3 linked regions of the Tribolium castaneum genome follow. The protein of the gene in region 1 purifies or fractionates together with the protein of each later gene. This does not show direct contact. Links are inferred from orthologs where the notes say so. Each region holds a gene or a part of one and is shown on either strand. Other genes may lie near its edges.

Region 1 (10,251 bases):
GAACGAGAACCTGATTGGTCCGTTTGAGCGCGAGATCCAGAAACTGCTCGACGAGCAGAACCTCCTCCAGAACATCCCTCCAAAGTTCGAGCTGAACCAGCAGAACAAAGACCTGGCTTTGGAGCCGCTTGTAAGGTACGCTCCAAACAATAACAACCACCAGGTGGGGCTTGCGGCGATCCAGGCCCTAGCTCTAGGCTTGAGAGTGAATCCCACCGGCAGTGTTACCCTCCAGTGCATGTCCCCTCCCAGAGCAAGCAGCAAAGAGGGATCGCTTAAGCGGGGAGCGTCCCCAGGACCGTCCGAATCCCATAAACAGCCAAAAGTGTCGCCTCTTGACAGGTACAGGAACACTAACATCGTGTCTCATTTTAGCCTCACTCAGCTTCATTAACACTCATGCTGCTTGCTCGCACTTCATGCTTTGTCACGTACATTTCTGGCACAGGTCGAGCCTATTCGAGATTTTACGTTCCACTGGGACGCAAAATCTCGAATAAGGTGTCCTATTGCGAAAATAATTTTTCTGGTGTTGGTAGAGCTCCGAAGTCGGCTGAGGAAGCCGATGTTGACTGTGATATGCCGGAAGTTCACAAGAGAGACGACGACACTGATCTTGAGAGCTTCGAGCGCGAGGAGCAACGCATGGAGGAAGAAGCAGCAAGGGTGAGTCACTCGGTAAATTTGCTGAATTTGTTTGATTTTAAAATGGTGATTGTGGCAAGCAGCCTGTGGACCGAGAGTTGGTAAAATCTTCAATGTTTAACAATTACCTAAACAATTTGTATCAATCGCGCTTACAGGAGGAGGAAGTTAAGAGACTGTTGGAGGAGAAAGTGCAAGAAAAGTTGAGGAATTTGGAAAATGGGGGTTTGGAGAGTCAAGGGGCGGAGGGAAGCCAGTCGGAGTGGTCGGAGGATGAGGACGGGGGGGCTTCTGAGCCACTTTTGAATGATAGGGAATCGACGGGGTATACCACGGATGATCCAGCGCTGGAGAATATTTCGATGATTAACGAAACTGGACTCACGGATGCTGAAGGTGAGTCAGGTATTTCCACCAGCACAAGTTAGCAAACATTTTTTGGAAGCAAAAAATCAGTACCAATTTCCGCTGCGAATACGGTTTAAGATAAAAAACAAGCATTATTTCAAAATTCTTTGAGCTTGTCCTTCCAAAAGAAAATATGAGCGCAATTTCGAGTACTTAATCATTTTTGGATAAAATATTGACAGTTTATTCAAAAATAGATAGGCTTATTGACATTGAATATCAACTGATTAATGTAAAATGACGAGCTTGCAAAAGTAACAAGTAATTTTTAACAAATTTTAAAAGAACTACAACGTTTGATGGATAGATTATTTAAAAGTGCAGTGAAACATTAGATTTATATGAAGAATCATGCTTTTTATATTAGAAAGACGTTTGAATTGACTTATCTTTTGTGAATTATCTGGGACCTTTACATAATTATTCAGAATAAGGAGGATAAAATTTTATTTTATGAAACATTTACATATTATTTACGATACCACAAATTATTAAATCATGTTCATCATAAGACAAACCCTGGCCAAATAATCTGTTCTTTGTACATGCAGAATGACACAAAAACTTTGGTCCGTGTATTGGTTTATCTAGGAAAAAACCTATGATGAGATCAGTTGCTAACAGATTCGAAGATATTTTGATTTTAGCACAATGTAATATTATTAAATTATTATTAAATATTAAAAATAAAATTTCGAGCTATCAACTGAAACAGTCACTCTAAATGACCGTGTAGATATGTGGAATTTTTTGAGGAGAAAATAAATTCTTCTTTAACATTTATGCCCAGTTGAAAAAATACATAAAAGTCGTCCAGTTTCTTAGCGTCCACTCCCTAGTGTAAATTCCTAAAATTTCGCCGGTGTAACGTGCAAAATTGTTCAAAGAGCGACATACACTAGAGAATTACACCCAAATTACACTAGGAAATAAAAGTGTTCTATTATACCTACTTTAACTTAAGAATTAAGATTTTAAAAAACAACAACAAACTCTTGGGTTTACCGTAAACTTATGAGTATAAATTTATTATTACTTTTTTATTTTGGTACACCTGTTCTATTAGGTACTATACGAATATGTTGAATAAAGTATTAGTTGACTTGACTTGGTGGAAAACAACGATAGAAACGTTTATTTTTCTTATTTATTTATTTCTTTATTATTTTTTCTCATGATATAATCAGAAAATACGCCACGTGCTGTACGAAAAATTTGTTCCATTAAAGAGATTGTGGTATAGGCAAAATTTTGTGTCGTAGTTCATACATTTTTTAACATAATTTATAAAAAAAAGTCAATAAAAGATTTTCTTAGAAACCAGAAGCGTCTCGTCTGGTCTGAACTGAGGAAAAATGAATTATTTTTGTCAAAATCACTATGCTTTAGCTCAAGATAAGAGTAATTTTCTCAGAAATAACTGAAGGAAACTACTTTTTGATTCAAAATTAATTGAGATATTTTTATATTACAACTTGACCAATTTAAAATGTATTTATTTTCTATTACTTTTATTACTTGTACATCGAATGCCGTGTCCTTATTTCACTTTTGTTTCTATAATTAATTTAGTGTATGTCTTGCTGCCAGCTCTAATAATTCTTTTTGCAAAAAAAAGGCTTGTTTTTTACAATACTTTAATTGGCACAGTCAGTAGGTTCGTACGTTTTAACGTTTAATCTGGAGTTTTGTTTTTATCAGCCTTTCTATTAATGAAAAATACTACTTCACAAGCTTCTAAAAGCAAAATTATCCGCAGTGTTTTGTCAAGTTTGAATTTAACTTTATCTGAACTTGTGGGTGCAGCAAGAGAAAATAATTTGTTGGTGTACTTTCAAGGCGCCCTGAGCGACGTGAACTCTGCTTATAACGACCACAACCACGAGGGCGACATGGACGACAACACCAGCATGTCGTCGCGCGCCTCCTCGCGCATCTTCGACTCGGACGCGATGATGTCTCTGGATTCTCTAAGTGCTCTCTATGACTCCGAATACGACAATTGCTATCGAACTGATGACGATCTAAATGCAGTACCTGACCTCGACAGACTTAACTATTTTTCAGTGCCTGCGAATGACGTTCATCTCGCAAATATCCGATCAATGAGTGAGAGTATTACTAGAAACTTTGGACAGCCTCGAAGTGAAACGGATCCAGATAGTGATGTTTAGGGACTAAAATTTTCTATGATTTGGTGAATAGACGATATTAATCTGAATGTACTATATTTGATTAGAGATGCGTTTACAAGATCGGAGGGTGATTATCTCGTTAGATGGTTTTGATCAAAACTTTTTCGTATTTTGGTTGATATTAGACTAGATCGCAATGGTGCTTCTAGCGCGAAGGGACTGATACTTTGTGATTTTTTATTAGGCAGCTTTCTACCAAGCTGGATATCACCCACGTAGTTGGTTTTAACCAAAGAATGCAATTTTTTACATTAGTGATATCTTTGTTGTGTATTGAATGATGATTTTATTACTTAACGGGAAATAGTGGCTCAACAATTTGTATAAATCTTGCTAATGGCGTCTCTTATGTATATAATCCTGTTTTAGTTGATTTTATTTATTTATGGAACATATTTTATTTGTTACCATCGTGGATGCAATATTTTGTATTTAATTATATAGTTTATATCATTAGTAATTCTAAATTACTGGTGTACTTAAATTGAGTTTTACACTTTCTTTCTCTCTTACGTACGACTTTTGTTACAGGATACATCAGATGTATTATTTGTTAATTCCATCTTAAACCGGATTTATAATGGAATTTTCTTTCTGTGATCACCATTTCTAAATGTAGCACTGAATATATTGGTGGTTTGTAAATATTTCTATTTTCTTCGAATATCCGATCTTGGTGTTTATTATTATTGTTGTTCTCTTTGTATTTCCTATTTTCTGTAACTATATTTTCTACTATTATCTGTAAAGACTAAAATTTGATCATAATATGTGTTGGAAAATTTTTAATGATTTATTAAATGCTTATAAAAGTAAACTAAATACATTATCAAAACTGCGTTTTTTTTTACTTCCTTCGGCAAAGTGACTCTGTCCGGTTCTGTCTTGTACCTTATGCCCTGTTCGGTGCACTTTTCTAAGCTTGTCAAGTTTTCCACAATTTGAAGTAACTTAAAAAAACTGTTGAATTAAATACAAAAATAAACAACTGATTACAAAACCCTCAAAAAATATTTTCACGATGTGTAACTAATTTAAATTTAGCCGGTTTAAACTTCGCAAATTACAGAAACCTGTAAATTATTTAATCTGTCAATTTGTCGTAACCTAACCTTATTTTTTGCATCTGATTTCCATTAAGTGTATCACAAGAAATTACATTTATAAACCTTTTATCTAGCTTTGAAGGGAAACAAATCCATTAGAAACTAATACAAATGGCGGGGAGCAAAGGCACATTTCAGCCGGATTCTGACGTCCACATTTCCTACGAAGACCAGCAAAAAATTAACAAATTTGCACGTTTGAATGCCAAACTTGAAGACCTTAAAGAAGAAGTTAAGGTGAAAGAGAACGATCTGAAAAGTTTGGAAGAAGCATGTGACGAAATTGCGTTATTTGATGAAGAGGAGAAAATTCCTTATTTGGTAGGGGAAGTATTTATCCTGCAAGACACTGAAACCACACAGCAGTGCCTCGATGATGCTAAGAAGAAAATTGATCAGGACATCAAGGAATTGAAAAGCCAATCAGATGATGTAAAAAGCCAAATGAGCGACTTGAAATCACATCTTTACGGAAAATTTGGAAGCCATATTAATTTAGAAGCTGAAGAGGAATAAATTATTTATGCGGAACGTTTTGGTATTTATTTAGAAATTTCACGCCTAATATTACTAATTTGTGACATTATTTCAACTGTTGCTTGACATTTTGTCACTTTACTGTCATTCCCATGTTGCCAGTAAAGATTTTTGTGTAATAACGATTGTAATAAAATATGAATTAACAAATGTTGTTTCTTATTTTTTCTGTATTTTCATAAAAACCATCGTTTTTTTCGTAAAATTTGTGGCGTTTAATTTTTCCGCCTGACTGTAAGACAGCCATTTTGATTTTGTCAAGAAGACGCGAATTGTTTTTTATCTTGTGAATTATAATATCTACAATTAAACACTAATTTTCTGCTTAATCTGTTAGTGACCTAACACAAATATTTCAATAATTCAATTTTTTAGTCACCCCTTCATCAATTTACGTATTAGATACGTGTACACCGGACTTCGCGCCAATTTGACAAAACAATTGTCAACTGTCTCGTTTTTTGAGGTTATGCTGTATTTTTTCGAATTCAATTTTACAAGAAAAACTTTTAAAAAATAGTCACAACCGAAACAATGAGCAGTGAAAGCAGCGAAGAGGATGAGCCCCGGCCGTCCCTCCACCGAGTGGCAAAAAAATCGACGTCCAACCCCAAACCCTACCCCAGCCGTATCAGAACCCCCGGGTCCCAGAAAACTCTGACGGTAGCCAACCGATTTTTGGAAAATTTTAATCCTGAGACTAGCATTCGCGAGAAACGGAAATTGAATCGCAAAATCAATCCGCCAAGCAACGTTCGGAGGCCACCAGGGGCTCTCTATGACGAGAATGGAATCCACATCGCCACTTGCATTGATCTTTGCGATTGCTTGAGTGAAGAGTGCGTGGGATGCTTTCTCCCATGCCCCAAATGTGGCTCAAGGAAATGCGGAATTGACTGCCGTGTCCATAGGAAATATGTCTATGATCAGCTTGAGTACCATGGGTACGATATTGTGGTGAAGAATCCCTTATTTAGGAATTGAGCTTTATGGGTTTCGGTGATTATGATTGAGAATTAGCGAATTTTGTAATATCGTTCATATCAAATTTATTGTCAGTGATTTCGTCTATATTTTGTATTTTATTTGTGTTCTTTAAAATGTTGTATTCTATTGACTACATTATAATAGTTAATAAATAATAATAAACTTATGTTGCAGTTTTATTTACCCTATGTTTGAATGTTATGGTATAGTTGTGATACATATACAGAAACAATTTTTTATAGTCACCCGGTAGAAATTTATTTAAACTAAAAATTAACATAAATAATTTCTTTGGTACTAAAACTCAACGTTTAGGCATTTTCAAAAGTGGCTACAATTTTTACATTTTCGTTAAAATTTCGCTTACCGTCGTTTTGACACTTAACGCATGACATCAAGTCAACAACATTTAATTGGTTGGTTTGCCTCTACAAATCACAGTAGTACTCGGTCGATTTGAAATTGGTAAAATCTCCCCATTTAAAGCAATTTCACATTTTTTACAATAAATAAAAATTGTTTTACTGATTTGTTTCAAAGTTTTTTGTATAAACAAAAAAATCTTTTATAAAATAAATAAAGCAACTTCACCCCAAACCTTTAGTTAAAAAAATCGACCGATTTATTCATTATAGGCGACAAGTATATTTGCATATTTTTTTAAAGTAAACCATTGGTTGAAAAATAAGTAAAATACAAAATTTAATTTCCTTGTACTGATCTAAGGGAATAATCACCTTCCGAAGACTAAAGTTTTCTTTGCATTTTATTTATTTAATACTTACTCCACTTTTCAGCACTATGTATCTCATGAAATGATTCTCAAGAAATGTAGGTAAGAAACTGGTGTAATGTGTAATTATTATGCACAAAATAGTAATTACGGCAAAGCCAATTAAGCAGGTGTGTTAAAATGCAAATAAGTAAACAGTTTAATTGAGCAAAAAACATAATTTTTGTCACGTGTCACTTTTTTACTACATTCTGATTTAACCAAAATAACAAATTATTTTCCTCCATTTTGATTTATTCTTCACTTTTATTGTATAAACAAAAATATTACTGTTATCAAAATACCACACACGTCTAGAACTCATCAAGGCGGGCGGAACATTTTCCTTTCATATAATTCATAAATAATTCTTATCTTTCGTTAATGCATTAACGGTTTTTAATTTAACGTTTTGATCCCAAGAAACCACTATAAACAAGTTAAAAAGTAGAAGCGTGAGAAGAACGTAATGTGGTGGGATTCGACAGCTACTTAAAAATAAACAATAGATTATAAAACAAACACTCGGCTCCGCCAACGAGTTTAAATGCAATTTAAATTAATTTTCTCCTCAATACATTATACCAGGACAGGAAGAAAAATTAAATTTTCTTCATGAAATGCAACTTCGATCCTCACAAATTTTAAATTTATGTGAAGCATGAAACTGTGTTATTGTTGAAGGGTTTCCATAACGACGCTTTCTATGGGTCGAAGTTGATTGCCAGAAGTGACAAAAACCCGCATTTTCTTGTGCTTATTTCTTATTTGCAAAGCTTTTAATTATTGTTAAATAATCATCAGTTAAAGAATCTAATTTCATATCTAAACCTATTTTCAGGATGATAACTGGAGGTAAGAATGAAACAAAATAGTTGTGTATTTTACACCGTTTTATTCCCTGTAGACGCAAAAGTGAGGAAAAGCCTCGAAATAAATATAATTTTTGTGTTAAGAAATTGGACTTTGAACATCATGAATTTAGTACCAATAGGATGAGTCTTATCGACGAAACTACACTTTTAATTTTTTATTTATTTATAATTAAATAAATGTATGTAGGTACATGTAAATGGTTAAAATAGGTAGGTTTTAAAATGCTCTTATCGAATCCGTCCTAAATTAGAAATAAGTAGGTATGACTTCATAGGTAATTTTAAAATTTTAATGTAAGTATCAATTAGAATTAATTAACTTAAATGCATATTGCCTACACACAGATAGATACATTAACGATTTTATGAAAGTCCCAATGATTTAGTTACTTTTACGAGCACTTTTATAAAAAAAAATATTAATCTGAATTCAGCACTAAATTATCGGTTTTGCTTTACAGGAAGCCATAAGCGGTAGTAATATAATAGGGGTAGCTTATTATGTCACATTAAGAAGCTTACAGATTTAAAGACCGTAAAATTTATTCCCTGCTCTCATTACCTATAACTCTTAAAGACATAATTAGTAATTAAACTAGCGCTTGGATCGAGACTTGATAGCAGTGTGCAAGATATGATTTTCAATGAAGCGTAAAACTTTAACGAAATACTAAGTAATAAGAATAAGTAAAATAGTGATCTGTTTTTCCTGTAACTATATGCTATACTATAATTAGAAATTATTATTGTAGTAGTTAAAATTAGGATGCAATGTGATACGTTTTAGGAAACTTTCGTTATGTACTTTGTAGGCGGAATTTTTTTCCAGAAATGGTTGTAAATTAAATTAGCTGTAAGACAATTAATGTAGTAACAAAAAAATTGTCTTTCCACCTTTTTCATCTCTAATGTTATAATTTTTAATTTTTGCATTAAGGCAATCCCTATGCAGCGTCAGATTCTAAAATTATGTACAATAGGCACACTTTGAGACATTCCTTTTTGTGATACTGTGTGTCCCAATGAGTTGGTAAAGTCCACTGCTGACCTTTAGATCTTAAAAAACACAGTGCTGTTCAAAAATTTGTGACATTAACACTAATTAATTGTTGGTAATTGTTATTACACCATGATAGTGATAATCATCCACCACGAATCACTTATTACGTCTGAAGTTTATTCAATGATTGTACAAACCATCAGAAATATTTAAATTACAAATGTTTTATTGTGGAAATTATGAATAATGGATTAAGCGTAGCACTGTCCAGTGTCCAGCTAGAAGATTAGGTACATTTTTTGTTTACTGAAGCAAGAACGAGAAAGAAGTTTTTTTTTCATTATTTCAAATTAAAAATAACTCGCTTGTTTACAATAACAAATCTGTAGTTATGTTTTTAAAAGGATCACAGTTCAATAATCGTTCAAATGTAAAAAAGTAGATTTTACGATTTTGGCTCAGTTTTGGTATTTTGTTTTTTTATAGTTGTGAGTGACCTTAATAGATGTCAATTTATAAAAAATAAATTTATAAAAATAATTTATAATAAAATAAAAAAACACCCAGGACTTCGTGGAAGCTCCGTAACTTTTTTTCTATGCAAGATATTGACTTCATTTTTTAGATACGTCTGACAATAGGCACCTTCTAAAAATATTTCAGTTTGTATACAGATTGTTCTAAAATAAAGTACACAACTAAGTTTTGTTTTCTAACGAAAATTCCAAATTTTTGTAACATTTTTGAAATCGCGACTTGATTGTCGATAAACGAACCCAGGTTTCTTAGACCTGTCTCTCATAGAGTTTGACATATGACAATAAATACCGTCGTTCATAGAAAAAATGTATAATAGACAGACAGAAAAATGTATAATAACTTCAGAACCATTCAAAACATCATAACCAACTTTTTTCAATCAATTTCTTAAGCTTTAGTACATCTTTGATAATAGTTGCAAAATTGGAGTCGATATCTCCTGGCCTACTACGATTAACTAACAAATTACAAATGGCAATAACGAGATTTTTTCAAATGCAGTACCACATTTTAAAATAAAGTTTGTGGGGTTTAAAATTTGTAAAATTATTGTAAAATAAAAAAAGTGATGTTTTTTTCGGAAAAAAAATCAAGTAGGCCATTGTCCCAAGATTTATCATTTCTATACAATTCAGAAAACATTCTGTTCAACAAATTGTAAATTGTAATAGAAACAGGGGTATATAACAAAGGAAAAAAATAGTAGTCTTTACTACTACTAGTACTACTACTACTACTAGTTTGATAGTTTTACATAGTTCCCTGTCAATCATACTTCCCTGTTATTATAAAGGCTTTTAAAATTCTTTCCTTTGTGGTGTACTTCTGTTTCTATACCTACAATTCACAATTTATTGAAAGATATTGTTTTTAGAATGGTATGGAGGTGTTCACAAATTTTACAAGTAGACCCCACAGCCCCATCGATAAAAAGATCATAAAAACCTCATGTAATTAATGATGTTTTAAAATATAAAATTAAAAAAAATCGAGTGATAGCCATTTGTAGTTTGTCAATTTCAGAAAATCGTAGTAGGCGATGGAATATCGACTCCAAGTTCGCATTTATTGTAAAAGATGCACTAAATCGATTGGAAAAAAGTTGGTTAAGATATCTTGAATACATGACGCTATTTTGCCGAATCAATTGACATAAATGAAAAAATATGCCAGATAAGTCTAAGAA
Region 2 (10,243 bases), on another chromosome or scaffold:
CTTAATAGGGTGAAAAAACCTTACGTATACAAATTCAACATGAAAAACACGACAAAATTATTACAAAATTTTAAATTTGGGCTCTGGCACGTATTTTTCAAAACGCTGCGAATACTGATGAAGATAGAAAAAAAATGAAAAATGTAAGAAAAAAGTTGCAGACAATCAAATTTCCTTTAAAAAATTCTCCAAGATCAAATATATATCTTCAAAGGTTTAGGCCACAAATACGTTCAAAGACAAATACGTTTCAAAATTTATTTTCTATATTTTTTCCCACACTTTTTTCTTTCATCAACCGTAGCCTTTTGAAAAATATGGAACACACACAAATTTGTCATTATTGCTTATAATTTATAAATAGTATACTGATTTTGATAAAGTGTTTACGTTAACTTTATTTCTTATGATTTGTTTAAACTTCTGCAGAAAAACCGAAAGTTATTAAGTTTTTTCGAATCTTTTGTTTAATACTAACAAATTAAATCTCTTAAAAGTGTATTTTTTCTGAATCTCAAAAACTAATAATCACACTGAAATCAGCGTTTGCAATTTAATACTTTGCATTTCAGTTCTGTGTGTGTTTTTTCTGAATTTGTCTAAAATTCCCTATAATTAAAATGAACCAATTAATATTAAGTCGCTGCACAAAAAGTACCATTGTTTTAAGCAATTCGTGTTTTATAAACTGTCCCCTAAATTACTGCAGTTAAATTTTATAAATTCCAATAAGCAGACAAGAAAATTTAATGTAATTGTTATTTATTTTGTTAAGGTTTTTAAAAAACAGTTTTGAAAAATTCCTCTTACCCACAAGCAGGACAAACGCTTGTTTTAATTTACTTAACTTTGTAAAATAAAATAATAATATATCAAGTAAATAAACAACTTATTTTATAGTCAATTTTATGTCTGTTCGAAAGTGCAATTATGTAAGTTTCAAGTAAAAAGGTCCTTTTGTGTTTTTGAACTTGGCGTTATTTAACTACAATATTATGGCAACATTTTTTTATACAAAAATAAATAAATCTCAAAATGAACGATTGGATGGCCGAAACGCTATTCTGTAACTATTCTAAAAAGCTGTCAAAATTTAAAACACGTAAAAATTGAAAAACTAGCGATTTTTAGTTATTGTTCTAGCAGCAGCAACGAATGGTCTTTAAATTTTAATAGTTTTAAATTAAAAAATGTATGATTATTAAATTAACTGATATTACTTAAAACCTGTAACAAAACTAAATTTAATTGTTTAAATTTTTATTTGGAAGTGTATAGAAATATCAAGCGACCAAATAAATAAAAAAAAATATTTTGTATGTCAATATAAATTTAAATGAAAATTTTTAAGTAGTAAGAGATTTTTTCAAACATCCAAATAGCCTGTCACAGACAAAATTTTCCAGGGATCCTGAATCTGCAAGCGGATTTTATCTACTAATAGTATTTTCCGAAATATTTTGTAAAGTTTAAAAGTTGGAAATTTTCAAGCAAAATAAAATTGAGGTTGATAATTACTTGACACTTGATCAAACACCGAAACAGTTTTTGAAAAAAATATTAAATTTTTGGAAACGGCGAATCGGATTATGTCGCCTCCCGATATTTATTCTCCGTATTGCAAAATATTGGAAAGTAGTTTCAATTTTTTTTTACATGTTTCTCGTAAAAATTTTAGTCATGAGTTCTTCTCAGCCTATCAGGAATGTTACTAAAGCTCAACATTTCAGCTTTTTTCCAAGAAATTATTAGTAAACAGACTGCATTTAATCATTTTAAAACCGTTTAATCTGTATCTCATTTCAATCCTATTTTGAAATGACTCACGTTTGAATTCTGGTGTTGGCACGTTCCCTCAAATATTCCTGTTTATCAAGTGCGATAAAAGTAACTCTTCCAATCCCGTGAGTTTTTAAAAAATCAATACACCATGCAGCTGTATCTGCTGTATCAACCACAACATTGTCCAATGGTCCACACGCAGTTGAAATGGCCACGTCATATTTTTGGTCAATGCCCCCCAAATCACCCTAAGGAAATATCATTCACAGAAGTCCCACTTTTATTTTTTTTACTTACAAGACGTCCATAGAGCCCTGGACATTTCCCTTCACGCTTCTGTTGCATCAAAGCATCCAAAACTCTCCCACGTGACTTGGAACTGTTCATGGAAGCACGAGTCTCCTCCAAAGACATCCTTTGTCGTCTAATTTCATGTTCAATTTGATTTTGTTCGGATTTAACTGCGTCTAGTTCATGTTGCGCGTCATTGAGTGACTTTTCCGTAAGAGGAATTTTCTTTTTAAGTTGCGACACCTCTCCAGAACGTTCTTTAATACAAGCCTCTTTGTTTTTAATCGTTTCACGAAGTTGGTTAAGCTTTTCTTGTTCGGTTTCTTCACTGCTTCGGGCAAAATTTAATTGCGTGGAAGCCAAATCATACTAAAAAAAATGAGTAACAATAGTACGTATTAACAAGTACTCATTTAACTTTAGTAGATATTCGTGTTTTAATTAATATTAAATGCAAACTGCAAACACTATTTTTTCTATAACCGGATCATAATAAAAAAAATAATTTTTATCAATATATAATTTAACAAACCAATTAAAAGTATGGATTTAGAAAATAAATTACCTCATTTTTTGTTGTGTCAACTGTCTTTTTGAGTTTACCAAGTTTAGTTTCAAACTGTTCTTTCTTCACTTGTAGATCTTTCGTCTCATGACCGATATTTTCCATTAATTTTGCCTTCTCTGCTTGTAATTTTTCGTGCTGTGATGTTAAATCACGCTCTCGCTTCTCACACTCTCCAATGAGCTGCAGAAAAAAGTTAACAAAAATTAAATACAAGTAATTGTCATTACTTTTGCATTTTCTTCAGGCACTTTTTGTAACTTAATTAGTTTCTTTTTTTCATCTTCCAGCTGTTGCTTAAATTTTTTCCTGTTATTGTTAGTGTTTGTCATTTCGGCTTGTAGTTGGGCATCCTTTTTATCAGCCGCATTGAAAGCATCCTTGAGTTGATCCTTTTTCTGTTGCAACTTTTCATATTTTCTAGAAAAAAAATTGTTAAAACAAATCAATGTTTCAATAGCTATTTAAGTGAATAATACAAAATTGTTTAAATAATTTTTTGAAGGGATAAAAGCTCTTTATTCACGTATAGCATTCAATATTTTTAGAACGTTAAATCACAATTACATTTCAGTTCGCTTTTTGAAAACCTAAATTTTAATATTTAAATGAAAAAGATGAATAAATAGTTATTTATTATACAAGACCATAAAGAGATTGTTTATTTACGATTAAGTTCAAGAATAACAAAGACTTATTTCACGAAAATAATACTTTGATTTTTCTATAGCAGAGACATTAAGTTTAAAAAAAAAAGCTATTGTTAATCCTTAAAATTAACATGTTGGAATTTGTAACTTTATAAATTATTGAATACAATGAATTTAAAACAATTTATGTACGCTTGTGGTAAAGTGCTATTTTATGTACTCAAAAGAATTGATAAAGAAATAATGTATCATCTGATACAGAAAAAACGGTTGTGTGGCAGAGTGAATAAAGCGTTGCTATAAATATTTTATTTATTCTTTTGATTCATTTTATTGATTAAACTATTGTTTTATTAATCAGATTTAATTTATAAAATGAGTATTTTATTAATAGCATTGAATAAACGATTTATTTACCCAGCTTCTTGCTTCAAAATTTTCTCTTTTTCAGTTTTTTCATCTGAAATGGTTTTCAATTCTGCAATTAAACCGTCACGACTTTGTGTTAACTTCGCCTTGTCTTCTTCCACTTCTTTCACTTCAGCTTCTAAATCATGTCTGGAAAAAACGGGTTATAAATGGCACTCATTCCAAACAAACTCACAATTCTTTCTGATGCAAGAAATTCTTACAAACTGCAATTTTGTTCTCTGTTTTCAGAAAAGTAAGCGCTTCTTCCATAGGTCCCTTGAGTTGTTCCAACTGTTTTTCAATCAATGTGAGTCTGTTGAGTTTTTCAGTGCGCAAATCCGACAAATATTCTATTCTCTCATTTAATTGCTCCAAGGGTTTCTACAACAAATTTTTTTTTTTTGTGTTAAACTAATTAAACTTCTTACTTTGTATCTGTGTGTTCCAATGATATCTTCCAGATATTCCAACATTCCTATTTCGTTTTCATTTGCTCCTTTACATTTCATCATTGCGATTTCCTCAACTTCGCCCTAACAAAATTTCATTCAAAAATAAAGCACTTGAAGGAGAAATAATCGCAAACCTGCAAAATCAGAAACCTGTTAGTGTCGATATCAATTCCATGCCCCTTCAACAATTTCCCAATTTCCTTAAATTGGACTCTTCGTCCATTGAGCTCATAAAACGAACTGTTGTCTCTATTGGCAGTCCTTGACACGACAAATTCACTACCTGGAACAACCTCATACTCTTCCCCGGGCTAAAAACAATCACTTATTCACAATTTCATAAAATTAAGCCTTACCTTATCTACGATTTCACAAAAATGCACCGCCACATTGCAAGACTGAACATTAGGATACCGTTCAGAATTGTGAATCAACACTGATAATTTTTTGCACCTCATGCGAGTGGCCCTATATCCAAACACAAACAGCATCGAATCAATGACATTGCTCTTGCCGCTACCGTTGGGGCCAATGATGGCATTAAAACACTACAAAACACTCATTGTCTCTTGTCCAAACCGTCACAAACGTACCTTAGAGAAGGGCCCCAAAACTACATTTTCAGCGTAACTTTTAAAATAATTGTTCACGATCTTTGTGATTATTAAGCGAGTTTGCGACTTCTCGACGTTCCTACGTTTCAAAGGGGGCGGAATGTAAATATCATCCACATAAATACCCTCTTCGTCCGAAAAGTTCAAGTCTTCTTCGACTTGGCTGTTGTCTGGGTGTTCGCGCTTCTTTCCTCTGTTTTCCGTCATTTTTACACATACATAACATACAAGAAACTGCGGAACACAAGCATAACACAACTAAACTCGTTGAAAACACAAAGCACGAAGAAATTTCAAATTTTAACGGTTATGTTGCGTTGTTTTGTTTAGGGTGAAGTTAGTTGCATTATTTAATTCATGTATTAATACGGGTCGTGTAATAAGTGTAAATCGCCCCCTTATTTTCAGTAACTAACTGAGTTTAACGAAATACAGGATAATTATTCTTTTTTAGAGCGAAATAAATTTTTTGTCCTTAGTATATCTAGTTGGTGACGTAGAAATCCCTAGACGTGTGGGTGGTCGGCCTGTTTGATTTTGACGTTTGCCCAAAAAGGAAAAATTAAGATACACTTTTATATTTACTCCAAGATTATAAAACCGAGCAATGAGTGAAGATCTGCAAAGAAAAATCCAGTCGGAGCTGGACAGTTTCAAAAACACACAAAAAGGTACAATAATCTGGTTTTTTGTCCAACCTAACCAAACTTTTCCAGAGTTGCAAAAGGCGATTTCAACGAGACAACAATTAGACAGTCAGTTAAACGAAAATATGATTGTTAAAGACGAATTAGAAATCCTTCCTAAGGATGCTAAAGTGTACAAGTCCGTTGGTCCAGTCCTTATCAAAACTGAACTTGTTGAAGCTAGACAAAATGTGGGCAAACGAATGGATTATATCAAGAAAGAGATTTCGAGGGTTGATGATTTGATCACTTCGATTGAAAAGAAGCAAGATGTGCATAGGGAGGCGCTCCAAAAGCTGCAACATCAGTTTCAACAGGCGCAAGTGAAGGCTGCATTACATGCTTAATTTTGCGAAAAAATCACTTATTTATTAACACGTTTTGTAATACGAAAGAATAATAAAAATCTCGTTAACGCTTTATTTATTTAGTCAATTATCCACTGTTTCTGTTCAACCATGCTACAATGTGTTCAGCTTTACGAAGCCCTGTATACGTTATGGGATAGCCCCCTTTAAACAGTCTCAGTGCTGGAAAACCCCCAATTTCTTGTTCTCGAACTAATGCCTTCTCGACTGTCGCGTCCACTTGTCCCAGTTTAATTTTTGATTGTTGTTTCTCAAGAATCTTGCACACTTTTAAATACTCGGGGGCAAAAGCCTTGCAATGGCTACACCACGGCAGATAAAATTTAACCATTAAAAGTTCGTGATGACTGACCGCCTCTTTAAAATTAAATTGGTTCAAAATCAAAATTCCGTCTTCGGTGGGAAATTCATCTTTTTTACCACCCCCAAGAAAGGAAAACGTGGAACTGATTAAACCAAACGCCGACACGAAAGGGTGCAACATTTTGTGTAAAGTTAGCAGTAAGAAGGCCCCTTCAGCACACAACAGATTTTAAGCATTTTGACCTTGTTTTCAAATATCTCGAAAAATGTTAAAATTTGAAGGGAGCTGCCTTGTTTTTCTATTGCTCCGCTTCAGCACAAAAATGAATACGACTTCAGAGTCCTGTTTCACAAGGTTAACGCCTTTAAAAGAAAAACAGTACTTATTATTAAATTATTATTATTAAACTAATAATTTTAAAGAACATCAGGTAAAAAGGAATTGACGTTTAAAATCCGCGCAGTTTTGAATGTCAATTGTCAAATGTGCAAAAGATTGGTTAGGTTAGCCAAATTTTTAAAACGAAGTTAAAATAAATAAACAAATAATAACAATAATGAATATCCTCGACACGGTGTTGTGCACATCGAAAGCTGAAAAATATTCAAGCAATTTTAAACAATTCAGCATTGATGCATTCACTCTCAAATTGTTCAATGAAGAAGATTTAAAAATCTTGGGTATTGAGGAGGAAGAAATTCGATTAGCTGTTTTACAACATGCTAATAATTTACAAATACCTGCAGAGTATTTTTTACAACCGAATAATTACACAATTTCTAATGTTTTTTTTGCAGAAAACATACAGAGGTTTTGATAGATGAAAAATACGTACAATTAGTTTTAGCCCAAATGTCTATGCATTTGACGAAACATTTAGCTGCTCTTTCTATTGCAGTGAATAGAAGGGATACAATTGTGTGCAATGTTCAGTTGAAACCAGCTGCCCATTGTTTGCAAAAATGTGTAGAATCTTTAGAAAAACAATTAGACGAGTTTGAGCAAAAGGTAGTTTTGCAACACGTCTGAACTATAATTAATTTCTACTGTTGCAGATTGTTAGAAAAAACAGGAAGATATGGTACAAACAAATTCTCATTCCTATTATAATTCCATCACTTGTGTTTGCCTCTTTCAAAGCCTATAGAATTATTCTAAAACTGATGTAATAAATTGATTTTGCAAAAAACTGTCTCGGTTTAAATTTCGCGCCTCCAATAAAGCCAACATAAAAAACACTAATGTTTAACAACACAAAAGATGATTGATCAAGAAAGTAAATATTGCGCTAAAGTGTAAGAAAACGTGATCATAAGTAAAACGTGCAATTTTCTTTGACTATTTCAACTTTAAAGTAATATTTAAAGCCAGTGGAAAAAAGTTCCAACTCATACCAGTGACGTGGATGTGTTTTGTGAGGTTATGTCACAGACGTTTTAAATTTAAAATTTTCTTTATATAAATCGCCAAATTAAAATAGAAAATGTTTGAGGTCACCGATACTCAAAGTATGTTTAAACAATTGCCAAAATATGTTTGGTGATAATATTTTTTTTACAGAAATTGGGGTCGGCCTGGCTGGCTTTGGGATGTTTTTCCTATTTTTGGGTGTTTTATTACTCTTCGATAAGAGTTTATTAGCGTTAGGAAATGTAAGTAAATAATTTCTTGCTGTTAGCGCATGTAAAAACATCACATTTCGTTTTGTTGCAGATATTGTTTATAGCTGGATTGGCATGTGTTATAGGATTAGAACGAACGTTTAGATTTTTTTTCCAAAGGCACAAAATCAAAGCCTCAATCTCCTTCTTTGGTGGAATAGTGATAGTGCTTGTAGGTTGGCCGTTAGTTGGAATGCTCTTTGAAACTTACGGATTTGTATTATTGTTTAGGTATAATGTGTCTTGTGTCTGAGAGTTGTAAAATTGACAAAGCATAATTTTAGTGGCTTTTTCCCAGTTGCCATCAACTTTCTCAGAAGAGTACCCATTTTAGGAACATTTTTAAATTTCCCAGGGATTAGCAAGGTACTCAAATTTCGAAACAGTTTAATTTGGAATAATATCTCCAATTTTTTAGCTAGTTGATAAACTGGCTGGAGACTCCAACAGGACAACAGTGTGACTTGAAATAGACTTGATTTCAAACAAAATTGTTGAACGGTGCTGTTGCATCGTATTGTGGTGGCTCAGATTTAATTTAATTACAAATAAATGTATTTCATTTGCAATATACCTACTGTACAGATTTTTTATTTTCCAAATAATGTACAAAAACCATTTATCGTTATAATAAATGTCGGCACATTTTTTATTTGATTATTAATAACATTTTCCCCGATCGTTTATAATGAAAAATTGCATCTCACTTTCACAATGATATGAGAAAAATTGTAGTTTTTTAAGACAGGTCGTGTTGTAGAAAAAAAACAGTGTATACAGCTCGCGTTAATGGCTAGTAAAGTCGTTCTCAAACTCGTGTCCATCGTTGTATAAACACGGACAAAATCGAATAAAACAAAAAACAACATTAATTTTGGTAGAATTTGATTTTAATTTTTGGTTTAATAAGCGATATGTTTCAGAAAAAAACTTAGTTTTTACCTCTGAAACGTCCTTTGGCTCTAAAAAGACAAAAATAAGTTATTTTTGTAAATAAAATAACACAATTTGCGGTATAATTCTGTGAAAATATAAACATCCAAATAACACGCTTAAAAAATTCAGTAGACTAATTTTTAACACAATTTGGTGGTTTAGTAGAATCTCATAAGAATTTATACGAGTAGGTACTCGAGCTTATAGCTTAAGGACGTACTTACGAAAATATAAAAATGAATAATAAACGAACTAAATTCGATAAAGGAAGGAAAAACATCAATTTAATCCAATTAAAAAAAAAAAAATGTCTCCAAAATTTCTTTTTAATTTTTTGTTTTGCGATTTTAACGACTTCTTTTCAACAAAAATTTGCGAAATAATAACGTTATTGTCTAAAAAATGCCCTAAACGCCCAAAAAAATGCATAAATAAGTTTAATTTTGACTCAATTTGTATGTTTTTCTAATTTTCTAATTTTTCGAATAAAAGCAAAAATAATTATTATTTTTAATGCCATTTGAAAATTTTTCTCTGTTTTAGCAAATATTTACTAAAAAAATATTTGAAAAACGTGCTCGTCGAAGATAAAAATAATGCTATCTTTTTCTTGTTTTTGACAAAATATTGCTTAAAAAATAATGAATTCAAGTAAAGATTAAAAAAAAGAAAAAAGACCACTTTCGGAAATACACAATTTTTGACGTGATTCTACGATTTTGCGGCTTGTTTACATCAAAATTTTGCGAAATAATTGCGTTGCTAACTGAAAAATGTTCTAAACGCTCGAATAAAGGCAAAAATAATTTATTATTAACTCAATTTGGAGATTTTTCTATCTGTTTTAGTAAAAATTCAATGAAAAAAAAATGAATAACGAACTTAAAGGCTTGTAGTAGATAAAAATAACACTACTTTCAGAGTATTCTTAAGAAAACATGGCTCAAAAACTAACTATCGGAAAATCGAAAAAAGAAAAGGAAATTTGAGAAATTAAAAAAAAATCGTGCTTAAATTCATAAAAACAAAAAAACACAGATCCCTATTTCACATATTTTTTTAACCTTTTATTTAAAAAAGTAATTTGGTAAAATGCGACGTCGTCAATTTATTAGTTTTAAAACAGAAAGTAATACCATTAAACATGATTAATTAATAATAGGTATGAACGTCTTAATCGTTTCATTTTAATTTAAAAAGAAATTAACAGTTTAGAATTAAAAAAAATAGAAAGGTACGCAACCAACATTACACCACTGTAAATCTGAGAGCGGACATTTTAGAAAAAAAAAGTTCTCTTTTTTAGTATGATTTTCTTTTGAGCTGCGACACCATAACCAATTTTTATTTCATAATTGGTTGTATAACGCGGCGGCAAAGAGAAATATCAGAGAACAAGAAATATCCTCCAGATTAAAAAGATGGATTTTAAAAAAAGTTCATTCTGGTCTGATCGAGGGTCTCTGATTCTAAGTTTACTCTAAATTTATTAGTGGGGTCTACGTTTACTACTGAGAATTACA
Region 3 (10,284 bases), on another chromosome or scaffold:
TTCTAATGCAGACCCTAAAAGATTTTTTTATTGTCATAGAAAAAAAGATCATTCTATTTGAAAAAGCTGGTATTTGATCATGATTTTCAAAAAAATCATAGTAGCCTTGTAATTTGACAGTTGACAAAGCCTGAAAATTTTAGATCGTTCAAACCGTTGGTTATCAAATGCAAAAAAACTATTCACTTTTTTAAAGAGTTCAAGAGCTGTGATATTTTGAATGAACCTCTACAAATGAAAATTTGGTCAAAGTTGGTGCCAATTTTTCATAGTTTTGAAATTTTGTAAATAATTTAGTTGAACTCGATGGTCGATTTAGAATTATATACAAAATTTCAAAGCTCTAGCTGCGTTAGAAGTCAAAAAGTTTCTAATGTAGGCCCTAAAAAATCACCCTGTATATTATGTTTATGTTGTACTTGTTTTAATAAAAAAAAGGTACAAGGGTGCGAATACGAAACTAAAATACCCGGTATGTTGTAATTTGTAAATTTGTTTGAATAAATTTAAAACATTTTGTGTACCCTTTCGGGTAAAGTGCTATTTTATCTACTCAAAAGAGTTGATAAAGAAATAGTTTAACATTTGCTCTAAAAAAACTTACCTCATTTTTGTTTTTTTGTTCATTTATTTGCTCCAAACGTAGCTCTTTCAACTGTTCTAACTTGATTACTTCTTCTTGCTGCCTTTTAGTTTCCGCATCATCAATATCAAGAACTTTTACTACAAAAACAATAAAATAAAAACAAAACTAATCTGTAATAATAATAAACTAACCAAGTTCTTGACTAACTGCTTGATCTGCAATTTCCTGATCGTCATTATTGTTGTACAACTGGTATCGTTCAAGAACATAATTAGTAACACACTAAAATTATTGATAATTATTACAATTTTTTTTTATTATGTTATAAAAACAACCTCAACTTTTTGATATTTGGGATCTTGTTCTAGAGCTGAATTTACATTTGTCTGTGTTATGTAAGTAACAAGATCAACAAGCCACCCAAGAATACCCATCACTTGTGGCCAAGCATGCATTGTATTAACTGAAAAAAATTATTAAAATAGAAATAACTAAGCTTAAATTAACTATTACCAGTTTTTAGCAATGAAAGCGAAATGTTCCCTGGAAATTGATAAATTTTGAGTGTGTTCAAGACAATATCTTTGTAGTTAGTTGTGTTGACTTCAAAGCGCGGATCGATTTCTTTGAATAGGAGGTTGAAAACGGCCACAAATGAATTAATGGTTGGTGGTTTAATGGTGTTGGGAAGGTGTTCAGGGCAATTGGGGTGTTCTCTGAGAAATCGCAAGACCTAAAACATCCAACATTCTCATCCAATCGCCAAATTTGGGCAACTCACTTTGGCATATTGGTCCGAAACCCACTTTTTGTCATTTATTGCTGAACCGATCTTGTAGGGGGATTTGCTGCGCGAGCGAGGTGTTGTGAGGTTCTATCAATAATTTTGTTAAAAAACTTAAAAGTACGGAGTATTACAAGGTATTAGGAGATGAAACGGGTACAAAATCGCCAAATCGTTTTAAATCCAATCAATTTAATAATTACTTGGAAAAAAGGCAGAAATGTTGAGCTTTGCACTTTTTACAGACAGACTGAGAAAAACTAACATTTTCGTAAAAAACATGAGAAAAAAGTTAATTAATAAAATTTGAAATTGCGCTTCGTTCCGTATTTTTCAAGACGCTGCGAATACGGTTAAAGATACAGGGTGACCTAGGGGTGTGTAATCGGTAACTTTTTTGTTATTTAAAATATTGCTATGCCGTTTTTATTATACGATAAATCGACCTAAAGTACACAAACTACAAATATTTTTATTATACCAGGTGGGGCAACTTTATCGCGCATCTAAGAAAATCGCGATTTCTAATTAAATAAAAAAAATTGCATTTTACACGCCTGACTGTACGTTCGAAAGGTATCTCCCCTAATGTTTTGGTAATTTTTCACTTGCAGATAAAAATAATAATTTAAAAAAAGTAATTTTCGACCAAAGAGTCAAATTCTAAATTTTATAGTAAACCACGCGTATTCACTTCAGATAATTGTTTACGAAATTAGCGAAGAAAAACACCAATGAGATTTTGAATTAAACGCACTTTTACATTTTAACTTTAAAAATTATTTTTATTTGAGTGGCTACTTGTGGTGACAATGTGAACTGTAACTGGGGTAAGATTGTAAAAGATTTTGATAGGATATTTGAATGCAGGCATCAGTTTTATTGCAAGACTGTAAATAAGGGGCTTCAAAAAGGTCGGCTACTGGTAACTGATCCCTTTGTTGGCAAATTATATCATCTTCTAATAAATAACGCGTCTAGTTTGCGTCTAAATAAAAAAGACCGATTATTTCACCAACCAAGTAAAAATTTATAATTCTGATACCAGCGTTCGATGGGCTAGCAGGTAAGGATTCATTTGGTCTAAAAACTTTGTAGTCAAATTAACAGTTAATGCCCAAAAACTCACAAAACTGCTACGACTTCATTTATTAACAAAAAAATTTAATAAAAATCGAGAATGGTCCTTATCAATGTACAGGCTGGTGAGTAAAATTTCAGGATTTTTATTTCATCAAAAGTCGCCATTATCTTGGGTGCGCGATAAGGTTGCCACACCCAGTATACAGGGTGTTGTATATAGGCTGGTGTACCAAAGTTATATTTTTTTAAATATAACTTATTTTAAATTATTTTTGCATAGTTGAATTTTACGCAAAAAAATAATATAACTTTATGTGGACTATTTGGATCTATTTCTTTTCGACTCGGAATTATTCAACTTTTCGTTATGAAAAAGATTTTTAAAAAATCACTGTGAAGTGATTATTTATGCATTAGAAAAACTCAGAATATTTTGTAGTTTTAGCAAATAGTCGACTTGTACTTGAAACACGCAGATAATGTACAGGGTGTGCTAAAACGCAAAAAGTTGAATGAGTCAATTTTTTTAAAAAACACCATGTATTTTTTACACGTATCGATAGCATTTTGCATAAGCTTTCTAATGGTATAGGGTTTACATAGCAAATTTAAAACATTTTTCGAGATTAAAAAAAAGTATTTTATTACAAGAAATTTGTTATCCTAGAATCTGATTTGTCAAATGATAATTAATTTTTTGATATGTACTAATGTAATGTGACTAATTACATTAGTAATTTAATTATTACTTGATACATCAATGAATTTTACACATCAAAAATTAATAATAAAATATAAAAGAAAAAAGAAAAAAACACTTTAGGAAATATTTCTAATTTACTATACAAACCGCATATCGTTAGAAAACTTATAAAAATGCTATCGACACGTGTAAAGAAATACATAGTGTTCCATTTGAAAAATATATGAGTTATTCAACTTTTTTACGTTTTGGCACATCTGTACATTATCTGGGTGTTTCAAGTAAAAGTCGACTAATGCTGAAACTACAGAATATTCCAAGTTTTTCTGTTGCAAATTTATCGGAAAATATTCATAGGTGACTTCGCAATGATTTTTCAAAAATTGGTCTTTTTTATAACAAAAACTTAAATAATTCCGAAACGAAAAGAGATAGACCCATAACAGTTTTATTTTTTTTGCGTAGAATCTAATTATGCAAAATATATAAGGGGTTTGATTTAAAAAATATAACTTTGGTTCACGAGCCTGTATACAACACCCTGTGTGCAGTAAAAATATTTTTAGTTTGTGTACTTGTAAGTCGATCTATCGAATAATGAAACATGGCAATATTTCAAGTAACATAAAAGTTATAAACCGAAAACAACAAATATTAACGTGAAACCTATTGCTTTTGAGTTTAGTTATAAGTAACAACGTAAAATAATTTATTAAAATACACACCATCACCTCAGTAAAACTTTTTTTTTTGTTCACAAATTATGGTGGAAAATTTATTATATGTAATGTTTCGCGGAAATGCTAATAAATATGAGGTAAGGGGTGAAGTAAGAAAAAGTGACTATTAAAATATTAAAAAGTCAAGAAGTTGGCCTGATATAAAAAAAACCATTTTTAGCAGCTCCTCCAGGTTGGATATTAGGAATCTGCACTTGTGTAAATCAAATGCCCAGCGACATCAAGAAATAATACCCGAAAAGCCCAATGTTCGAAAAAAATTAAATGAATTCAAAAAACACAAAAATCTAAATTTGGACAAAACATAATCCCAAGTTTTCAACCAAACAAACAAAAGTGGCTGTTTCTTCATCAAAATTCAAAATTTTGACTTAGTGAAGACTGTATATAAAAAAAGAATTTAAAAATTACGCACTACACACTTGTATACCAATTTCAGTGTCAAATATTGATCTCTAATATTACAAAAACTTATTCTGTGATATACTACACTGAAAAAGGCGAACTTAAATAACAAGATAATGGCTTATGTGCAAAAATTATGGATTTAATAATAATAATAATACATTATTTTCTCATTTTGTCATAATGTTCAAAATTGATATGCATAATAAATAAACCTACAAAGCAGTTATTTAAAAAAATAGTTAAGGAAACTTCAAATTCAAAAAATCTCCTATCAGAAAAATAACTTTTGTCCCTCATATGTTTCAGCCACTGGTTCTTTAAAATAACCGAAAAATATTATGGTAATTACACTAATTACACAACACTAAAAATGACCACAATCCGTCCTTTGCTTTAGTTGGGACAAAAACAGGTAGCAACCAAAAGACCATCCACAGAAACGGCACGAGCAACGCCTCTATAGGCAAAAGCAATAAACTATGGGGGATTATATGACAAAATCAGTCTATTCATTGATAATTTAAAAACAACAGTGTTCTACTACATGGCGTTTGTTAAATTAGTTGAAATTTCATATTTTGTAATAAATATCAAAACCCTAAAACAAATTTTGAAGTTTACTGATAAAATAACGCGACTTTTACATCAATCGCAATATCTCAAAAATAAATTAAACCTTTTCTTAAAGGAGTTTACTTTTTCAACGCATTAGCCTGTAGAATTAAAAAACCTTTAATATGATGTACACATAATACAGACTGATCCAGAAATACTGAGTCTGTTGGCAACACTGGACTTAAATTTTTAAGGATACCAATGAAGTACGCTTCAAGTTAACAAGAATTTAACATTCTTGTGGAGTTGGACGTCAAATAATTGTCAAGAAAAATCGAATTCGGTTGCAATGTTACAAATTACGAGCACAAATACTTTCAAATGTGTTGCCAATAGACTCAGTTTTTCTGGATCAGTCTGTATTTGAAATTCTGTTGCGTATTAAGAGAGAAAACTTTTTTAACTGCGCCCTCTGGCGACATTAGCGGAACCATTAAAAACGGGAACGTTTTATTTGTATGTACATCGTTTCGTATCCTAATCTTTAGATATCCGTACTTAAAACACTTACAGAATTTGATCGTTTTAACCCAGAATTCTGAAATAAATAGGTGTTTAACGTTATGTCAATTGTATTTACTGTTTTACCAGAGTCGGAGTAATGACCGTTGATTTTTTATAAGAAACCTACAATCAGCATTAGAGTGATAAAGTTCTCGAAACAAAACAAAACCTAACTGATGGAGTAACCGAAGGTCTTCTCAAATTTGACGAACTTGTTGATCTTTTCAAGGGCGGATTTAAGGTTCGGTCCATGGAATTCGCCCTGAACCTTTTTGCATTGTCATCTTTTGCACTAACTCTTTAAAACAAATTAGAGCCAATAATTTCATTTGAATTTCTTGAAGAAGGAATTTAGGAGAAGGGTACTTTTGGTAATTTTTTACTTTTTTAATAAACCAGGACCTAAATTAGGTACTACAAGTTTACATTATTTTACCTGCTGACAGAAGACTTTGAGCGTGACCTATTGGGGACTGGAAGTTGGGAGCTGCTGTTTGACCGTCGGTACATTGTTCAAAAGACTTCTCAACTTATTAAAAACACAATTAAATCATAAAACTGACTGAAGTGTACAAACATCAAGTTCAAAAAACGTTATTACAAAATCACCAATCAAGAAAGTCCAATAGATGCAATTTATCTACTAAATGTATCTAAATTGGAACTACTTGCTGTTAATTTTTTTAATATGTACCAATAAATACGAAACGTATACAGATTTATTTAACTGGAAACAATTTTAAAAAAATAATGCAAAGCAGTGCTTGTATGAAAGACACAGCATTGTCTTTCGACGAGTAGTTCATTCAAACAGTGCAATTTGTCTCTACTCCATTGCTATTTGACACTACCTTGTTTGTCCATTTATTAGTTATTAATTTATTAGAAAAATGGCTCAAATTTCGTCCACAGAACAGCCTAATATGAAGCAAGTGGATCTGATGACGCTAAATATCCAGCAGTTATCAACGTTAAAGCAACAGTTAGACCAGGTATGTGCCCTAACCTCAAACCTTGCACATGATTCTAAAAACTGCTCTTTTTCCAGGAATTGTCGCTCTTTCAAGAATCTCTTGCGTCCCTCAAAATGGCACAGACGAAATTTCAAAACTCCGGAGAGTCTCTGGAGAAAGTTGGCCCCGATTCGGATGGAAAAGAGATTTTAGTGCCGTTAACAGGATCGGTAATTTGAGTAATATTTACGAACTTTAATGAAAGTTTTTTTTTAAGATGTACGTGCCTGGAAAGTTGCACGAGACCAACAATGTGTTGATCGATATCGGAACCAGATATTATGCAGAAAAGGTGCAGCAATGTTGATGTTGAAATTGTGTGTTAATGATTGAATTTTTTAGGATATTGATGCTGCTAAAGATTACTTTAAGCGGAAAATTCAGTTTGTGACAGAACAGATGGAGAAAATTCAAATTTTGGGGTTGGAAAAAAGCAAAATTAGAGATGCTATTGTGGAAATTGTGGAATTAAAGCTGCAACAGCAACAGAATTGAGTTTAATTTTGTACATGATTTATTTATAACTGTGTTTAAATGTTTACCTAATAATAAAAAGATAAATTAACCTCCACTTTATTTGATTTTATGTTCCTGACTTATTCGGGAATTGTCTACATTTTGTATTAATCAATTTTGGTCAAAATTTGTTGCCGGATAGGCAACCAAATATACAGCTAGTTTTGGACTATCACTGAGAATATTACACACTGATCCACAAAAACTGAGTTTGTTGGCAACAATGGCTCGTAATTTGCAAGACTGCAACCGAATTCGATTACTTTTGACAATTATTTAACATACAATACCACAAGATTGTTGAATTGTTGTTAACTGGAAGCGTACTCCAATGGTATTCTATAAAATTTAAATTCAATGTTGCCAACAGTCTCAGTATTTCTGGATTAGCCTGTATTTATAATAGATGGTTATAGGAAATGCTAATATAGATCGATAAAGAAAAATATTCTCCTCCATCTAGTAAAATAAAAATTAGGATATTAATATAAGTTATGGGTACTTGAAGTTGTACAAACTTAACTTTAAAATTTTGGGTTTTTTACACTTCTTTTCCAATTTTGAACACATTAGAAAACAGATTTTATAGGCTTTCTCTTTTAATTCTTCAAAGATAATTTCGAAATTTCTCAAACTAAAAAAGCTACCGAATTTTTTAAGTGTCAGGTGCAAATCCAATAATTTTCAAAAAAACTTAAATATTTAAGAATATAAGATGCGTTGTCTAATACAATTATTGTCGGATCTTCTAAAGACGGTAAGAGCTTTTCAAGGAGACACGTTGTCGTGGTAATCGTCTGATTTTGTCTTTGAAGAAAATATTAGGGAAGCGTTTTCCAAGTTTTCCAAGTTCCTCCTTTGGCAAAAATCTATGTCTCGTCGAGAAAGTCGTATAAATTCACTGTTTTATACTCCTCGTATTTTCTCAAAAAAATTAATCTTTTTGAAACAATTTGTGGCTTCTGACACAGAGCTCGTCGATTGCAGTCTCTTTTATAATGAAACTCTGTAAAAACAAAAATATGTTATATTATACGTATATGCTTACTCATAAGTCATATTACACCTAGGGGCCGGTTTATATCAGGCGAATTAAAATTTGATTGCAATTAAGTGTTTTGTAAATTGGCCTCACTATATTTAACTAACTACAGTCAAACTTCTTTAAGTCGAACTTCCTTTACTCGAATTTCTCTCTTACTCAAAAATTTTTGTTTCCCCTTGCATTGCCAATCTTATTTACATGTGTTTAGCTTTCTTTAACTCGAACTTCTCTAACTCGAAAATTTCTCTAACTCAAAATTATTTTAATGAACAAAGCATGCGCGAACTTCTTTAACTCGAAATTATTCGTCACAATTCGGCGCAGTGTTATGCAAGTTTTAGTTTCGCAAAAATTGGCACATTTTCTAGAAAAATGGCATCTAACTATTGAAAAAGAAATGGACAGTGGGGTGAAAAAGAAAAAAAAATATGAAATTCCGTCGAGTACATTATCTAAAATTAATGAAAACAGAGCGTCAACGGTACAGTTTGCTCAGGAAATTGGAAATTCTGCCAATATGACAACTGATATTGTTTATAATTCACTAAATAAAATCGAGCGATTTTATGAAACCAATTGTATCAAAAAAACTGTACGTCAAAATCTGATCACAAGTTATATGCATTGAGAAAGAAAATATATATGTATGTTCATACAAATCTGTAATAATGTTCATTTCTAATAAAAAAATATTTTCAGTTTCTATAACTCGAAATTTCTCTAATTCGAACAAATATTCGTTCCCCTTGACGATTCGAGTTAGAGAAGTTCGACTGTAATTAAATTTTATTAAAACAAAAAAATGCATTCGTTGTACTTAACAAGATATTTAACAAAATACATACCAATAGACAGCAAAAGCTTTCTCAAATTCGACCAACTGCCTTGGTAGATGTGTTTTTTCTCCAATACTTCTTTTAATCCCTTAACTGTCACCCAAATTTTCTTTTATAATATTTTTTATAATGTTCTCAGCAATTTTTAATGCTTCTGCAGCACGTCTTATGTAGCACTGAACAGGAATTACTGGCCCCAAGTTTTTTAACAAAAACTTAACAATACTTTTTATTAATTCACCACTATGTTTATCATACATTTTTTCGAAGTAACTGATACCTCCTATCTATTATCAGATGTAGAAACAACTGAATTTGTGAGAGTAGGATAAGGGTAAAGTGACCCTTAAACCCTTAAAACCAACTTTCTAACGTGAAAACCCTTATCTACAACCAATTACTTGTGTCTAAGAAACTAATCCTATTTTTACCTTTAGTGGAATTAATACCATTATAATGTGTTAGAAAGTTGCTGTAGCAGTAAATTAAGTAATTACAAATTAAACATAACATAATCTTTTAAGAGAGTAAGAAACAATGCTGTTTACAAATTGTTCACATTAAAAAGTTTTTAGGATTTAAAAATCACTTTCAAATTGAAATTCATAATTAACATGTATATTTGTTGATAATAGTAAACATTTTGTTTATAGGGTTGACCAGGCAAACAAATAAAAGACATATTAATTTATTTAACAACAATAAACATAACAAATACCAAAGTGGCATCCCATAGTTTGGGGACGATTGGTAGACCCTCCCATTTTTCGCTACGCTTGACGGTTTGTATTTTGTTTCACTCATTCGCATAGTAACAACAAAGACAAAACTAGTAGCAGATGGGAAAGTGTTATTTGATACATTTATACGACATCGGCCAAAATTAAACTACTTTTAGTATATCTCTAAAACGGTTAAACTTAGGTATATAGAAAGTATAGTAATAAGTAATAATATGTAATAACGTAGTGAAAAACTTAACATTCTACTTAAAACAAAAAAGTTGATAGCGACTTCCGGTATAATCGGAAGTGCCGCCATCTTGAAAATATTTTCATTGGGCAGAACTTGACAGATTATGACTGAGAACCAACTTTCAATACTTCTAATGTGGAGTTTATACGGAACAGGTTGTATAATATTGTGCCTGAAATGCCTTGAAATATGAGTTTAATGTTTATAGATAGATGAAACTATTATTTTTCTAGAATTTGTTAGTCTTTGTGTAACAAAGTACTAAAAATAAAATTATGATCCTGTATTAAATAAATCTGATAATCTTATCAATGCTCGCTATAAGTAAATATTTTTAAAAAAACATGCTTTATTTCAGTTTTCCTTATTTATACTGGATGCGGCAACCTTATCGCGCACCCAAGAAAGTCGCGACTTCTAATGAAATAAAAATCCTAAAATTTTACACACCAGCCTGAACGTCCTAAGGTGCGCGA

Evidence for each region.
Region 2: the proteins of Pfdn4 (region 1) and Pfdn6 purify together in Homo sapiens (affinity purification with mass spectrometry; 6 studies listed by BioGRID and IntAct, counting the BioPlex papers as one, with this or other methods). This does not show direct contact. The link is inferred for Tribolium castaneum from reciprocal best matches to the Homo sapiens genes PFDN4 and PFDN6.
Region 3: the proteins of Pfdn4 (region 1) and Pfdn5 purify together in Homo sapiens (affinity purification with mass spectrometry; 5 studies listed by BioGRID and IntAct, counting the BioPlex papers as one, with this or other methods). This does not show direct contact. The link is inferred for Tribolium castaneum from reciprocal best matches to the Homo sapiens genes PFDN4 and PFDN5.

Annotation. Positions count from the first base shown.
Region 1 is NC_087395.1:16,370,204-16,380,454, reverse strand, and holds Pfdn4 (probable prefoldin subunit 4), read left to right. Parts: upstream 1-4,329; 5' UTR 4,330-4,465; coding exon 4,466-4,870; 3' UTR 4,871-5,041; downstream 5,042-10,251. Other genes in the region: rut (Ca(2+)/calmodulin-responsive adenylate cyclase), read left to right, coding at 1-342, 540-666, 729-746, 804-1,041, 2,893-3,227; ARL14 effector protein, read left to right, coding at 5,426-5,875. UniProt on the Homo sapiens protein: Binds specifically to cytosolic chaperonin (c-CPN) and transfers target proteins to it. Binds to nascent polypeptide chain and promotes folding in an environment in which there are many competing pathways for nonnative proteins.
Region 2 is NC_087394.1:25,213,222-25,223,464, forward strand, and holds Pfdn6 (prefoldin subunit 6), read left to right. Parts: upstream 1-5,235; 5' UTR 5,236-5,372; coding exon 5,373-5,436; intron 5,437-5,481; coding exon 5,482-5,798; 3' UTR 5,799-5,873; downstream 5,874-10,243. Other genes in the region: glu (structural maintenance of chromosomes protein 4), read right to left, coding at 1,828-2,030, 2,080-2,442, 2,639-2,821, 2,869-3,058, 3,706-3,846, 3,893-4,080, 4,128-4,232, 4,286-4,462 and 2 more; vesicle transport protein GOT1B, read left to right, coding at 7,607-7,631, 7,684-7,775, 7,837-8,015, 8,069-8,150, 8,207-8,257. UniProt on the Homo sapiens protein: Binds specifically to cytosolic chaperonin (c-CPN) and transfers target proteins to it. Binds to nascent polypeptide chain and promotes folding in an environment in which there are many competing pathways for nonnative proteins.
Region 3 is NC_087400.1:9,617,003-9,627,286, forward strand, and holds Pfdn5 (prefoldin subunit 5), read left to right. Parts: upstream 1-6,234; 5' UTR 6,235-6,313; coding exon 6,314-6,415; intron 6,416-6,471; coding exon 6,472-6,606; intron 6,607-6,653; coding exon 6,654-6,728; intron 6,729-6,778; coding exon 6,779-6,931; 3' UTR 6,932-7,007; downstream 7,008-10,284. Other genes in the region: uncharacterized protein LOC103314387, read right to left, coding at 605-723, 778-868, 922-1,049, 1,100-1,319, 1,368-1,460, 5,431-5,457, 5,508-5,546, 5,598-5,721 and 1 more. UniProt on the Homo sapiens protein: Binds specifically to cytosolic chaperonin (c-CPN) and transfers target proteins to it. Binds to nascent polypeptide chain and promotes folding in an environment in which there are many competing pathways for nonnative proteins.